Linked DNA regions of Drosophila melanogaster. The gene in region 3 interacts genetically with the main gene of each other region. Each region holds a gene or a part of one and is shown on either strand. Other genes may lie near its edges. The genes, in order: gb, CaMKII and mGluR.

What was found.
Region 1: of mGluR (region 3) and gb, changing one suppresses a phenotype caused by changing the other (phenotypic suppression), as found in Drosophila melanogaster (one study listed by BioGRID).
Region 2: of mGluR (region 3) and CaMKII, changing one suppresses a phenotype caused by changing the other (phenotypic suppression), as found in Drosophila melanogaster (one study listed by BioGRID).

What each region holds. Positions count from the first base shown.
Region 1 is NT_033777.3:27,107,956-27,114,283, reverse strand, and holds gb (genderblind), read left to right. Parts: upstream 1-2,013; 5' UTR 2,014-2,564; coding exon 2,565-3,013; intron 3,014-3,250; exon of another isoform or gene 3,251-3,636; coding exon 3,637-4,150; exon of another isoform or gene 4,151-4,401; coding exon 4,402-4,602; exon of another isoform or gene 4,603-4,683; coding exon 4,684-4,833; exon of another isoform or gene 4,834-4,955; intron 4,956-4,979; coding exon 4,980-5,157; intron 5,158-5,225; coding exon 5,226-5,287; 3' UTR 5,288-5,817; downstream 5,818-6,328. Other genes in the region: CG5815 (uncharacterized protein), read right to left, coding at 1-10, 73-1,453, 1,594-1,656.
Region 2 is NC_004353.4:1,048,320-1,053,360, forward strand, and holds the start of CaMKII (Calcium/calmodulin-dependent protein kinase II), read right to left. Parts: upstream 3,060-5,041; 5' UTR 3,024-3,059; exon of another isoform or gene 2,375-3,023; intron 2,291-2,374; 5' UTR 2,201-2,290; coding exon 2,136-2,200; intron 2,074-2,135; coding exon 1,979-2,073; intron 928-1,978; coding exon 868-927; intron 240-867; coding exon 185-239; intron 1-184. UniProt on the Drosophila melanogaster protein: A key regulator of plasticity in synaptic physiology and behavior, alterations in its activity produce pleiotrophic effects that involve synaptic transmission and development as well as various aspects of behavior. Directly modulates eag potassium channels.
Region 3 is NC_004353.4:935,118-939,875, forward strand, and holds the start of mGluR (metabotropic glutamate receptor), read left to right. Parts: upstream 1-1,701; 5' UTR 1,702-1,812; intron 1,813-3,214; 5' UTR 3,215-3,312; coding exon 3,313-4,000; intron 4,001-4,758. UniProt on the Drosophila melanogaster protein: G-protein coupled receptor for glutamate. Ligand binding causes a conformation change that triggers signaling via guanine nucleotide-binding proteins (G proteins) and modulates the activity of down-stream effectors.

The DNA.
Region 1 (6,328 bases), on a different chromosome or scaffold from region 3:
TAAATGCGTCCTTTAAAAATAGAACAAAATATGAAATCTAAAATCATTTTTAATATCAAACTTGGTATTTACTTTTGGTGACTGGCGGCTCGTTAGGTTTTCGTCTCTTGACATCTGCGGGCGGGAATTGCCGCCCGCCCTGTGATCTCTGAACATCCGATGAAGGAGTCTGTCGCGTCTTTGCAGCTGCCGGAATTTTTCGGCGATCCAAGGTTGAGATGCTTGACTGATCCCTAGGTGGAAACTCCCTTACAGTTCCCTTTAGGGAAGTAGCTGCATAGGGGTTCTTGGATGGGACATCCCTGCTAGAGCTGGAGCTCGGTTTTCCAACCGCCGATGCAGTTGCGCCAGGTCTGGCAGTCAATTGAGCTGATTTAGTAGCGGGCCTTGAGCTCGAGACAGAACTGCGACTGGCGGAGGAATGGGAATTGGAACTGGATAAACTGGTGGAGCTCGCGCTGCTTTTCGTTGGCTGTGGGGCAGTTGGTTTTTTAAAACTATCACTTGGTGCATTGGCTGGCTTGGCTTGATTAAGCTTGGGGATGCGTCCGTTAGGCTCCATGCGATTGGGGATGGATTTCGGAGTCTCCTTGCCTTCACTTTCGCGCATCTTGAGACGCTGGGCGCGCTGCTCCTGTTGCCGCTGGCGCTCTTCCAACTCGCGTTTCTCACGGGCCGACAACAAACGCTCTGGTTCCTTTTTTTTCTCCACCTCAAAAACCACGGGCTCGTGCTGTTTCTTTTCAGCTAAGCGAAGCAAGGCTTGGAAGTCCATGGGCGGCGGCTGAGCAGGTCGTTTTATCTTCGCCCGGCGCTGCTCCTCCTCCTGCCGCTTTTTGCGCTCCTCCTCGAGCTTCTCTGCGTTCGGATCATAAAGAGTCTTGGAGGTACTGTAAGAACGGGCCACGGAGGACTCCTTCGACTTGGTAGCGCTGGATGGGAGTGTGCTTGTGCTGCTTTTCTGACGTGTGTTACCCTTGGCCTCCTCTCGTTCCCTGGTAATGGCCGCCTTCACGCGCTCCTTGGTCCCAGAGAGATCTTTTAGCGACTGTGGCCTGCTGGGCGTGAATCCCTTGTCTTCCTGTACATCGCGTACCTTTTCAATGTACTTATCGTAAAAGGCATTCGCTTCAGTGGACACGTAGCCGTAGTCATCGCCCTGACCCTCGCCCGCCTCGTGGCCGTCGATGGCCCCCTCGTAGTCTTTGGCATCCTCCAGCACTGATTTGTTGGCCGATTTGGTTACCTTTAGCATTTTACGTATCTTGTTCTTGGACTTTTCGTCTCTTTTGGCGAGCAGATCGTTGAGTTTCTGGCGCTCCAGCCGTTTCTTTTCCGCCTCCTCGGCCTCCTTCTTTTGGAGAAACTTCTGGATGTTGCTGGACAGCTGCTTGGACTCCTTGGACTGCTTCTTGGGGGGCGAATACTTGGTGCTGTAGTATTTCCCCTGCCCCTGGCGATAGAGGAGAAAAATTACAATGATCAGATCGAATATAAATTATTTTGGGTCACAAAGGGAATGCAGGCGCAACCGCGTTTTCCAAGCATAAAATCTCACGCGATGGACGAACTGGACATCTGCATGATACCCACCACCTCCTTGGTGACCGCATCACTATTTTTTTTCGCGTAGCGCAGCAGGTCCCCAAAATCCATTTTGTGATCTGTATTTCTCTGTCGATTTGCTTTTAGCTCATCTATTTGGATACTGATATCGATTGGCGATAGGCGATAGACGTGGTCTACTTTTCGTTTCGATAAGAAATCAGAGGAGAGCACGTGAGAGCACGTACGCTCACGCAGTAATTGTATATTAATTCTCGTTAATATTTCAATATATGGAATGTATAAAATTCAGTTTTCAATTTCATTTTACCCTTATGTACGGGACCGACAGCGGGAAAGTCGGCGGGGCCATATTGTATATATATTATTTTTGAATAAAAAATTGCACCCTGTAGCTCGCAAGAAAAACACCCCAGCATCAATTGATATTCTACAGTCAGCCGGGCGCTGGTCACACTGCTGCGATGCTCGAGAAAACGTGGGGTTGAAAAACCTTTGAGCAACGTTGTGCCAATTCCACAATTAAACCGCAGAGTTTGCACAATTTGGCGGTTACACCTCGATGTCTGCCCTTATTTACCAGACCCATTAACCGAATTCCGCGAGACAGAGTGTGAATTGTTCTTTTAAATCGCGAGTTTTATGTGCGATAGACTCAACTGCAGGGTGTGTTGCTGGTGCGAGCGAGACGGCAGCTAGCGAAGAGCCGACCAAAACAAACTAACGCTAGCCGGCGGAAAAGGAAGAAGAGGAAGAGCAGGAGTAGATAAGCCAAATACAATACAATTGAAAAACACATTAAGAAATATACACACACGCACATATGTACACGGAGTCACACCCACGAACACACTTGCCTCGTTTAATCAATTAACGGGACAACGGCCAAAGAAACAGTTACAGTTCGCTTTCAGACGTCGCGTGCGAAGATTGTGTCACAGAGCAGCGGGATAATAATACCATAGCCCTAGGACATAATACGTACATATATAGCCGCCATGCCCGCCGCCGATGAACTGCAGTCGCCGTCCAGCGAAATGGTCCTGCTGACCCCCAGCTCCGGCAATCCTCCCTCCAGCATTGCCCAACCAGCGGCTAATCCTGCCGAGAAAGCTCAGTGTCGCGAGGGATCCGCCGAGTCAGACAGCAGCAGGGTTGTGATCAAGAAGCAGCTGGGCCTCCTCGAAGGAGTGGCCATCATCCTGGGCATCATCTTCGGATCCGGTATCTTTGTTTCTCCGAAAGGCGTCATCCGGGAGGTGGAGTCCGTGGGCGCTTCGCTGGTCATCTGGGTTCTCTGCGGACTGCTGTCCATGATTGGTGCTCTTTGCTACGCGGAACTTGGTACTGCCATACCAAAATCTGGGGGGGATTACGCGTATATCTTCGAGGCCTACGGATCACTGCCGGCTTTCCTGTATCTCTGGGATGCCATGATGATATTCGTGTGAGTCTTACTGGTCAATATTGTTTTAATATTCGCGAATATTTCGCCGTTAAAGTTCCCTTATCACAGTTGGTTCGAAAAACATAAATACAGTATCAAATTCCTTTCGGTAATTGATTTCGAATTACTTTATTATCGCCAGAAGGAACCCATTAGAGTAAAAGTAATAGCTGACATTTTTTTTTCTTTTTTGCGTTTTTACGTTTTTTTTAACGAAATAACATATGTATGTAGATTGAATGAAGTGAAGTAGTCCTACAGAATCTGATTTTTAGACTGGGTCAAGTTTAATAACTTCTCAGATAAGACTAGAAGAATGGAATACTTCGGATTGGTGTGGATGCATCCGGTTTTTCAAGGTTAAGCCATGGGTTGTGTATTAGAGCATTAGAAAGTGAAACGAGCCTTATCATTTAATCTGCGCTATATAAGTTTATTTATTGAACAGTTCCGCGAGTTCTGCATTGAGCGTTTTATTGCCTGCTATATTTGTTGTTTAGGATCGGCGATAAGCGAAAATATCTGCTTTTCTACTTTTGCATGCGGACATTATCAGCAGGACATATGTCTGAATGCAGTCTGCAAAAAAATTTCCACTGATTGTGTGCTCTTATCTCTGACAGACCAACGACCAATGCCATTATGGGCCTGACCTTTGCCTCCTACGTGCTGGAACCCTTCTTCGGCGGAGCCTGTGAGATTCCCAAAATAGCGTTACAGCTCCTGGCAGCCATCACCATCTGCTTCCTAACCTACCTGAATTCGTACTACATGAAGGTGACCACCAAGATGCAAAACGTCATCATGTTCACCAAGATCGCCGCCCTGGTCTTGATCATCCTGGTAGGCCTGGTCTGGATGATGATGGGCAACGTGGAGAACTTCACGAGACCCTTTGATAACACTGAGACTGATCCCGGCAAGATGTCGGTAGCCTTTTACTCCGGTATCTTTTCCTATGCCGGATGGAATTACTTGAACTTCATGACGGAGGAGCTCCGCGATCCATATCGCAACCTGCCGCGCGCCATTTACATCTCCCTACCTCTGGTCACCGGCATTTATGTGCTGGCCAATGTGGCTTATCTGGCCGTGCTGTCGCCCTCGGAGATGATCGCATCCAATGCCATCGCTGTGGTAAGAGTTTATCCACGATTTGCAGTCCGATCAGATTAGGCAGTCAAATTACTAATTTACTTAAAAGCTTAAAATCTGTTAGTTATCAAGCATAATGCAAGCCCTATAATGTCCGACTTTGTCTATTTGTAGCTTAAATTCGCAAAATTGCGATAGACTGCTGGGAATTTTAATTTATTTGATCGGAATCGCAAAAGTCAATTAAACCAGTGGATTTTCAAATGATTTTAATTGATCACTTCTCTTCACAGACCTTTGGCGATAAGATTCTCGGCGTGTTTTCACTGATCATACCCCTCATGGTGGCCATATCTGCTTTTGGCGGCCTTTCCGTCCACATCATGACCTCCTCCCGCATCTGCTTCGTGGGTGCCCGCAATGGACACATGCCGGCGATTCTGTCGCACATCAGCGTAAAGAGCTACACCCCACTGCCGTCGCTCGTTTTTCTGGTGAGCTGCGCTCCTCAATTAGCGCACAAATGATATTATGTAATTAATCCCTAATTGATTTGACTGTGTCCCTCTCGGCAGTGCTTTCTCTCCATTGTGATGCTGGTGGTGAGCGATGTGTATGTGCTGATCACCTACGCCAGCATTGTGGAATCGTTCTTTATAATGTTGTCGGTGTCGGCGGTTCTATATTTCCGCTACACCCGTCCCTGCATGGAGCGGCCAATTAAAGTGAGTTTAGCGTAATCAGTATTGCCAATGTAGACGTTCTACAGCCAACGAAATCTTTGTACTGACAAAAATTTAAATACTTTGATTATGTCTTTGAGCCTAACAGTTTAGCAAGACTATTCTAACTATATTTGTTCCTGGCACAGGTCGCCATGTGGATTCCCGCCCTATTCGTCATCGTGTGCGCATTCTTAGTTGTCGTGCCCATCTATGTGGCGCCCTATGAGGTCGGAATGGGGGTATTAATCACCATAATTGGCATACCTTTCTACTACGTGGGCGTCGTGTGGAAGAATAAGCCGAAATGGGTGCAGAGCACGATTGGTGAGTAGCCCTTCACATTAACCCCAATGTGTGGCATTGTCCGACATTTATATGGTTTTCCTTTGTAGACTCGGTGACCTTCACTTGCCAGAAGCTCTTCATGTCCGCCAAAGAGGAGAAGGAGGACTAAACTGCCATCGAAATGAAATGGAATCATTTTTCAAAACGATCTAGCTATTTGGCCCTCCAAATAACTACCTATTAAATCTCTATATTGATGTGAAAGCTTGAGAACGAGAAAGCTTGGCTCGTTAAACCTGAATACCAAAAAACGAAAATACCTAAAAAAGCGGAAAACATGACCTGTACATCACAAGGACTGGAGAACGAAGTCAATACTATCATATTTCTATATTTATATTTATAAACCATGACAAAAACTTTTACCTAAAGTGCAAATTCTTCGAATAGTAGTTTAGTATTGAGTTCTAGTTTAGCATTTATTTTGCACTCATTAAATTCGAAATCTAAACCAAAGTAAGCCAAAACTGTTTGCCAAAGGTGCGATATTCAGGTCGATATTTGCCATATAAAGCAGTTTCATATAATCTTCTGTTGCTTATTGTTTAAAAATTCGGTTATTGTTTTTGTCCCTCATTTTACTACCTAAGTGCATTGCATTGCAGTTTGTAATAAAGATTTTTGTACGTTTCATCGACGAACCGCTTTGAATTCAATCTTTTAGGCGCCCCTCGCGAAAGTATGCCACAAGATTTTAGCGAATGATAAAGCAAAACAATTGATAAGGTTGAATTGATTGAGCATTGCGTGGGATGTAAGCCCATGCCTTCGCTAATCAATTAGGGCTGATAAGTAATGGGTCTATTTTAAGCCATTCTCGACGGACGACAAGTCGCGATTTTTGGCCAAAAATAAATCGCCTCCTGTCGCCCCCATTGACATTTTGGACACTCGGAGGCTTGTGGAATGACGCCAACTCTATATTCGATCACTGATAGAGTATTCCGTGCGGATCCATTCTACCGTCTAGGTGTTTTTAATTGATAAAACTGGTGCGCTTATCTGGGATTCTCAGCACGGTTTGCAGGTGCGCCCGTCTATGCGAAATCTGGGCGAGAGTAGTGGGCTGATTTGTATGCACCGTATTCGGCGTCTCGTTTAATGTCTTTTTAAGTATTTATATGCGAGGAGTGAGTATGTCTAGTTACCA
Region 2 (5,041 bases), 110 kb from region 3:
TGATTCATATTCATATTATAGTATGAACGAACGGAGGGAAAAGGATGAAGTATGAATCTCAATAAACAATAGTCGAGTCATTGCCACATTTACAAGCATTTGTTAGAAACTCATATTTTTAAAACACTTTTGGGGATAGGCAATTTAAATATTTGGTAAGGAGTCTATGCAGGTTAATGCTTACAGGTCAAAAACAAGGTAGTGATAGTTCTCCTCCTGTATACTGTCATGTAGCCGCACTGAAATTGTACATATTAACAATTTATTAGTTGTATACATTTGTATTTAATGTTTTTTTTTTACGGATGACAATGATTATAAGCCTTAAAGGCTATAAAAATATATGTTTATAAAATACATTTTGAACATATTATATATTTTGTCGGTGACGCTGGAGGAAGTGATGTTTCTAGATTTGAACTGTCCGTGTAAATAACTGTTTTGTTAGGTTACGCTTTTAGTGAGAGGAAAGTCTATTGCATGAGTTCGGTTTTTGCTGTTCTGCAAGTTTTTATAATTATTATAATTATAAATTACTTGGAAGATTTGTTATTGGAGAGTAGGGAGGGCGAGGAATGGAATGTTGCTTGCAGATGCGGATTGATATATCTACTAAACTCTATTTTATTTTTTTCTTCGTTGTGTTACCGTGGACGTCAAACCATCCTTTATCAGGATCACATTGCAAGTCATCAACACTACTGGGGTCTAAGCCGTGATTGAATGTACATATAAAAATTATGTATAGTAGATGTTCAAAGTGATATTAGGCCATGTTCGTCTACTTTTATGTAGATCATACATCTTCAGAAAAACGTATCTTTAAAGAATAAGTAAGTAAATTATATTTATATACACGTTGCATACCTATGTTGGGATGGTGTAACTTTCTGCAGATCCTTGCTTCACGTTCCAGTTTTTGAAAGTCTAAAAGCAAAAAAAAAAAATATATATATATATATATTATAAGCATCTCTTATATGCATACATGCATGTGTACAAATATGTTAATAAGAGGTTTTTGGCGAGCAAGCAAATGGTTCTCTCTAAGCCCAAAATTTGTCCCAGCTGTCATGCTCAAACTTCTTAAAAGTTATTTAATATATTTTTTGTAAATTACACACTTTGCCAATACTGCTATTCCAAAATTATTTTGGCCACGTCTTGGCAGTAAAAATTTATTAATTACTAAATAGCACAACACCAAGAAATACAACTTAATTACTGTAGAACTATTTGATACTTGTGTGGCAAATAGATAGGGACGACGAAGATATTACACAAAAAGAATGGTCCCTTCCAAAAGCGTACTTAGCAAAAAGAAAGTACATTTTACAGGAAAACTTTTTGACAGTCAATGTTTACTACTGATTTCTTACGATATGCCATATCGCCGTTGAAAAAACGGCATCAGATACCAGTTACTCAGCTAGTGTGAATGGGAACGCGAAATTTCATCATTTTTCTAGGATAACGATAGATATTGGGGAATAAAATAAGAAAAAAGTTTAAAAATTGGTCCAAAGTGTGGACGTGACCGGTTGGCGGCTTTTAAGCAAATCGATAGAAGTTAAAGGGCGTTAGAATGGGCGTGGCAAACTTTTTTTTGAGCAAATCGATAGAAATTTACAAGACCAATACAAATGTGAAAAAATATCAACACATTTTTCAAAAGTGAGGGCGTGGCGCATGTGGCAACATGGGTCAACAAACTTGCGCTGCGTATTTGTTTCTAAAATCTGTATGCCTTCTAGCTTGTATAGTTTCTGAGATCTCGACGACCATACGGAGAGACGGACTCGGCTATTGATCCTGATCAAGAATATACATACTTTCCAAGGATCAAGGATCTAGTATACCCTTTTACTGTACTCGACGAATTACCTAAAAACAGCACTTAGTTTCCCTACATGCGTGTGCATAGCATAAATGCGTACATATGTGATTTATAACCTACATAGAACACAGAAAGCCTTACCTCTGGCAGTTAATTTTTTTGTATTGATAATTTTTGCAGCAAATTCAAAGCCAGTTGACTTTTGGACACATCTTTTCACAATTGAGAATGCTCCTCTGAAATGTTAATAGACGGGTTATTATAATAAATTTATTAACCTTGAGTTTGTTAAACTTACTTTCCCAACTCTTCTTTGATGTCGTAATTGTCCGAAAAACGCGTACAGGCTGCTGGTGCAGCCATCGCGATGGCACACTTAAGAAAATCTATTGCGACTAAAGATCTTCAACTGCTCTACAGATTTCACTTTTCAGGAGTTTTATTTCTTGTTTTCTAAACGATTTTTAAATATAAGATAATAAATCAGTTTTACAAAAATTATACAAAAAATTGCTTACAACGTACAAACATACATACATTGTTGTACCATTTAGGTACCATGGGCCTTCTCTAAATATTATTTTGTTATAAAGTAATCACTAGCTGGTTCAAAAGTTTCAGACAGCGTTGGTTCTATGGTATCCAAAGGGGTACTGCATGTATTTGAGAATCCCCCGGCCATCATAGTATAAACTTGCATTCTTCTCTGTATAAGATCGGGCATGAAGCTCGTAAAGTAAAGCTCGCCAATGTAATTCAGAAGTATTCAGAGCACAGATTAGGTAACTTATTTCATAGAAACACATATCGGTAAAATTAAAAGAATGTCTCGCTATTCCAATTTTAAAATTCTATATTACTCAGTGGAGTCGATGCAAAACAGACCAGCAATCTACATATAGTTCTTCAAATTTTAAATGGTTTGTAATAATATAAGGGTTATGTTATTTTAAACAGCCGCAGGTTTCTTATTGAGTTGGTAATTCAAGTGAGTTCTCTTAAAGCACGTTGCTTAAACTAGAAAACTCGACCTCCATTTTGAAGATTTTGGTGGTTGAAGTTTTTTCATGTGATCATGAAATCATACGAAAAAACACCATACTTCGCAAGAAACAACATGTGCGGGGGCACAAATTGAAAAATGTCTGAAAATGTATTATCCTATCTCAAACGTTGAATCTGATACCTTGTTGTTGCCTAGAGATGACATGACATTCGATAGACGAAAAATGTAATAAACTCGATTATTAAACATAGGGGTCAACTCCTTACCAAAGCTACACTTAACTGTTCCCCATGCACATCAAAATAGCAAAGGTATCTACATATGTAAAACCATAACTCCGCGGTTAGTGCAGTGTAAACGGGCCTTACATCGATATGCATATCAACCACTCAGTGGCGTTTTCAATATCAAATTAAACTATGGCCCTGAAAAAATACGAATCCATTGCAGAATTAAAACAAGAGAAAACGCTATAGTAAAGCTTTTCGACTATCAGATAATTGTTACTCAGCTAGTGGAAGTATGAACGAGAATATTAAACATTTTTCTGGCGTACCGATTAAAATTGGCAAAACAATTTCAACAATTTTTTGAAAAAAAATAAACGAAAACTTAAAAAGGGCATGGCACAATCTTAACTTTCTAGCTTTTATAGTTCCTGAGATCGTGGAGTTCATACAGATAGACGGACATGAAAATTCGACTCGGCTATTGATCCTGGTGAAGACTATATATAGTTTAAACGCTCGGAAACGCGTCGTTCTGCAAGTTACATACTTTTCAACGAAGCTAGTGTGATAGCCAGCTGATCAAGAGCAGCAACAATCATTACTATTAACCTATATTACGTATTGAGTAAAGGAATAAAAAATGGAAATTATTTTTTCGTTTTACTTTCCAGTTATTATAGTTTCAGCGGTAACAGCGTTGATACGGACGACAGGCATGGGATAAAGCATGCAAATTTGTTTTCTTGAGAACCAGACATTTAATCCGCCTAAAACTGTAACTCCAATTTTTTTGAAAAATAATTTGCTTCTTTCAGTCTTGAAATCTTTTATTTCGATTTTGCCCACACATTTACAAAGTGTTTTGTTTTTTTGTTTCATTATTTTTATTTATTCTTTTATTTTGCACATTTCTGTCGGGTTGTTAAATAGTCGATGAACTACTGTCACGTTCTCTCTTGTTTTATACCTCTCCGTGAGGTTTGTTTTTTGCCATATCCGGTAACAGCGGTACTGTTAGTTTTTAGTTTGTTGTACGTGTTTTTTTAAAACTAGACCCAATCACCATGAAAAAGAAGTGTTTCCCTGGAAAAGGTATATGTAGACCCTTAATTGCACCCTCGCAATTTTGAAATAACATACTTATAATATAATATTGTCAAGTCAAATGTTACGAAAAGTTTAAAATTTGTGATCAAAACTTTATTATCTTTGTTTTAAACCAGATATATTTAACTCTCATTGACATATTTCAATCAATTAAAAAAAGCGACAGGTGTTTTTGGTTAATTTCTTAAAAAAGAAAATCCTGATTATGAGAATGTATCTGGGAAGCAGTTATATATATACGTACATATATATGTAGGTATGTATCCTTTGCAGGTTACATGCGTTGAAGCTTTTTTTGATGAGCTTAATGGTAAAACGCCCCACCCCTTTTAGCAAGGATATTTCAGGGTCTTGGAAATTACTTGTTGCAAATTATACTTTTTCATTAAATCATATAAACACGCGCTATGTACGCGAATTAAATATACTATTTGGATGAGACCTTCAGAAATGTTTTACTAAACCCATTTTTCGGACTAGGAGGGACGATATATAGAATGTGAAACACTTTTTTAAAATTAAAAAAAAAGCATTTATCATAACTCGTAAGTATTTAGGTATGTTTTAAACTTTCTTGTAGATATCAAGAGTAATTTGTAAGATGTATGTATATTGTGCAATAACAATTACAAAATTTTTAAGTGTCATATATTTATATTTACTGCGTAACTGAACAAAGGCACAAAATGGGGTACATACTGATGTTGTATAAATGTCCTTTTAAGATATAAGTGAAGCGTGTGAATATATATATTAACTTTACAATATGCAATCGTTATACGCGCGAAAAAAGTATTTAATATTAGTTGGCATATACACAGTAAGAGACCATACATATATCAAATATATGTATATGTGTAT
Region 3 (4,758 bases):
ACAGTAGTTTTAATAATTTCTATTGTACTTCCTTTAATTAATTAGTATATTTATTAAGTCATTTGACTTAAAGTGATGTAACATTAGCATTAAAAGTGTTTCAAAAAAAATATTTCGCTTTTAAAAAATTGTCAGATGAGAGACAAATTAGAATTAAACGTAACAAATTTTAACAAACAAATTTAAAAACTTTAAAATTATAATAGTCAGGACGCGAATTTTTAAAAAAATTTTTATTTTATCATATTGCTACGAAATTGGCAAAAACTACCCTAATATGTACAATGTAAATTCGTTTCTTCGATCAGAATTGATTTCGGTCCGAAAATCGTCTTCTAGCACAACGCGCACACATATACGCGTTCTCGTCTCTTGTTTTTACTCACACAAGCAAGCAAACTCCGCGGGAGTGAGCGGAAAGAGAGTAATTTTGGCCGTCACCAAAAAAGTGGCTGCATAGTGCCAAACCAATGTATGGCCGTTACGCATCTTGTTATTCTAGTGTCTTTGCCTAGACTGTAAAGGTCCTTGCTAAAAACTTAAAAAATTTATGCATTTCTTATTAGTTTAATATTTATGTAATAAGCATTACAGGTTTGGCAGGCTTGTGGGTGCTAGAGGGGCGTGGCCAACATCTAATTGGTACACCGATATAAATTTGGAAAACATAAAATTTTTTCAGATAATTAGAAACATGTCTCAATTGTGTGGACGGAATGGGCGCGTGAACAAATTTTTTGCCAAATTGAACAAGACATACAATGAACAATATTACATCAGTGGGCTTTAAAGTGGGCATGGGCGTTTTATTTGACTCGGCTATATAAGTATAAATACATAATATGGTCGAAATTTTTTTCCCCACCTGTTACATACCTTTCAACATATCTAGTATACACTTATCACCTACGTTATCGAGTATATAAATATGTTAATTTTCTTAAAAGAGAATGTGTTTTCCTATATGTATGTGCTGACGTACCTCATCTGGATAATTGTTTTATATTTTGAGGATGGTATATAACTTTCTTAATTTAAGATCTGGAATATATCGATAGTTCAAATTTCTGTAGTTATTATCAATAATATAATATATAAATATGTATGTATCTATATACAAGTATATATACATATGTATAGTATAGTATATATACATAAGGCAAATACAGATGATTAAACGCCGCAAAGATGACGCAAATTTAATTGTTTTAATTATTTGTTAATTTTAGTAAATCGAACTAAGTAAAAAAACAAGATGTGGAAAAGTACATTTCTATTTGACGAATTTAGAGCTACAACATTTTTACTGAAATTCGAGCTCCAGAAAAAACTGTTGTGCTTATTGCAACATCCCTAGGAAAAGTCCATTAGTGTGCCCGTGTAAAACGAACACAATGAGTATAGTGAAAAACCATTGTTAGACAGGTGGTAAGGAGTAAGACTACACAGCTCTCTTAAAAACCGTTATTAAATTTTCATGAGAGAGCATTAATGCTTTTTTCTCTTTGGTATGCTGCCGTAATGGTGCTTTCTCTCTCAAATTCCGTGAGAGATGGACAGTTAGAAGGATTGTTGTAGATTGTTGCTAGTATTGTTGTTCTTTTACTTGGCCACTGCTGCTGGTACCCATTTCTTGGTTGTTGTTGTGCTGCTGCTGCCTCTACAAGAACTGATTTCGTGTTAGCTTATCATGGATAAATCAGTCAACCAACTGGTAATGGTAGGACAAGACGTGCGCGTATTAGTTAAATATAAAAAAGGTTTTAAGAAATGTTGCGATAAAGTTGTATAAGAATTTAAATAAGAAAAAAGGTAATTTAATTGTGAACATTATAAATAATTTTTCTAAAGAAAAGAGTTGTGAATAGTGATAAAATTTATTAATTATTGCACATTTTAAAGTTGTTCAATGTTCATCATAAAACAAGGAATCTCGTTGACAAAAATAAACACAATTAAAAAAGTTGCACTTTTCCACACGTACATAAGATAGTTGCACATGAAACCTACTGTAAAGGACTCAATATTTTACAATAACTTTGTACATATATGAAAATAACTGCAGATAAGTATGAGTGCCCTTTTTTAGGGCTTTCGCTAACACATTGCTTTTGCAGCTTCAGAGCAACGCCATCATCAGTACCATTCTTTTTGGTACTTGGCTTGTCCTTACATTCCAAAGCTTTTGCTGTTACGTGTTAATAGTGCTTTTACCACAGGCAAGAACCACTAAATTATATAGAAAACCAAGTATTATGAAAATGCTTGGTGTTCTGACAATCCCACACCTGTTGGAAGTGCCCAACAATTTTGGCTATAAATAATGTTTTACCTGGTGTGCTAAGTAAATACTCATTTTTTGTTTTAATACCAGTGCAGAGAGTATATTTATATCAATCTTAATATTTTTAGTTTTAGAAAAAATTGGGCATGGATTTAAAAACGAGCCTACGTGATTTAATTGTTTTTATTTTCAAAATGTATCGGTATGCCAAAAATATTATTATAGCTTTCTCCCTACTTATACCCGTTACTCGTAGTGTGTTCGTTAAAAAGTATGTACCAAGAGAGGGTAGCGTTTTCGACCATATAAAGTATATATATTCTTGATCAGGATCAATAACCAACCCGTCATGTCCTTCTGTCCGACCGAATAAACGTCGAGATCTAAGAAACTATTAAAGATTACAGATACTAGGGACAAAGACGCCTACCACCCCTACACTTTTGGAAAATGTTTTGATTTTTCTTCGTTTTATTGTTTGTCTTGCCAATTTCACCGGTATACGCCCAAAACTGTCACGCGCAAACTGTTGAACAATTTTTTAGTTTTTTCTCATTTTATTTTCCAATATCTATCGATATACCAGAAAATTTATGAATTTTCTAGTTCGCGTTTCCACCAGTTGAGTAACGGATATCTGATAGTCGGGGAACTCGACTATCTCTTATTTTATATTATTATTTGTTTAGCTTAAAAACGCCCACACTCATTTTTGAAAAATTGTTGTTTTTATTTCGTTAAGAGATTTGTCTTTTATGATTTCTATCGACAGGGCAAAAATGGTTGAAATTTCTCCATCGCACTCCAGCAAGTTGAGAAACGGCTATCTGACAGTCGATGAACTCGACTATTTCATTAACTCTTGTTTCTGTTTAAATATAATAAGCTTGTAATATATTTTTAATTATAGAATTTTTTCGGTTCCCATAGACAAGCATCAACCAAGGACATGCAAAAACATGAACCTGAATTTCACGTTGCGGGCCTAATACATTGTTAACTTAAATCATCCACGTGTCTTTAAAAAGATGAAACAGAAAAATAATAACGGAACAATTTTAGTCGTCGTGATGGTTTTATCCTGGAGTCGAGTAGTAGACTTAAAAAGTCCTAGTAACACACATACTCAGGATTCAGTGTCTGTTTCTCTGCCTGGCGACATTATACTTGGTGGGCTATTTCCGGTCCATGAAAAAGGTGAAGGTGCCCCTTGCGGACCAAAAGTATATAATAGGGGAGTTCAACGCCTGGAAGCAATGCTGTATGCTATAGATCGTGTAAACAATGACCCCAACATACTTCCTGGAATTACGATAGGAGTCCATATACTTGACACCTGTTCAAGAGACACATATGCCCTCAATCAGTCGCTTCAATTTGTCAGAGCATCCCTAAACAATTTAGACACATCAGGATATGAGTGTGCAGATGGGTCAAGCCCGCAACTAAGAAAAAATGCTTCGTCAGGCCCAGTTTTTGGAGTTATTGGCGGGTCCTACAGTTCAGTGTCCTTGCAAGTGGCCAATTTGCTGCGTCTGTTTCATATTCCTCAAGTATCACCGGCCTCAACCGCTAAAACGCTTTCGGACAAAACACGCTTTGATCTGTTTGCTCGAACAGTACCTCCAGACACTTTCCAATCCGTAGCCCTCGTGGACATACTAAAAAACTTTAACTGGTCATACGTATCAACGATACATTCGGAAGGATCTTATGGTGAGTCTTAATCAATGTTCTGAAAGCAGAAAATTGTATACCCTTTCGGTAATTATTTATCATAATTAAATAAAAAATCAAGAGAGAATGCCCTGACTATTAGATACCTGTTACTTAGCTAGTAAAAGTGCGAAAGAGAAATTTCAACATTTTCTGAAATACCGGTAGAACTTAGTAACAGAAGTTTAAAATTAAAAACAATTAACAATTGAAATGTATTGTACGGTTTGTTGGCGTTTGAGGAATAGAAAAATGTTTTTAAATATAGAAATTTACAATAAAAGTCTATATATAAAATATAAAAACGTTTTTTAAAAGTTTAAGCGTGGAATTTTTGGCTTGTGGGCGTTAGAGTGAGCAACATCGGGAAACAATCTTGCGCCTCGTCTATGTCATGCATGCTCAATCTTAATTGTCTAGCTTTTATACTTCCTTAGATTGAGGCGTTTATACGGACAGACGGGCATTCAAACCGAATTTTATGATAACAAATATCGAATTCTGATTTTTATTAACGTAAAGTATATATATTCTTAATAAGGGCCAATAGCCGAGTCGATCTGCCCCTGTCCGTCCGTCTGTCTGTTCGTCCAGTATGTCCCGTATGAACGTCCAGATTTCAGGAACTATGAAAGCTAAAAGGCTGAGATGATGCATGCTGATTCTAGAGCCCACTCTTACGCCCACTTCTGAAAAATGTATTGAAACTTCTTCGTGTTATTGTTTGTCTTGACATTTTCTATTTGTATACCACTTCG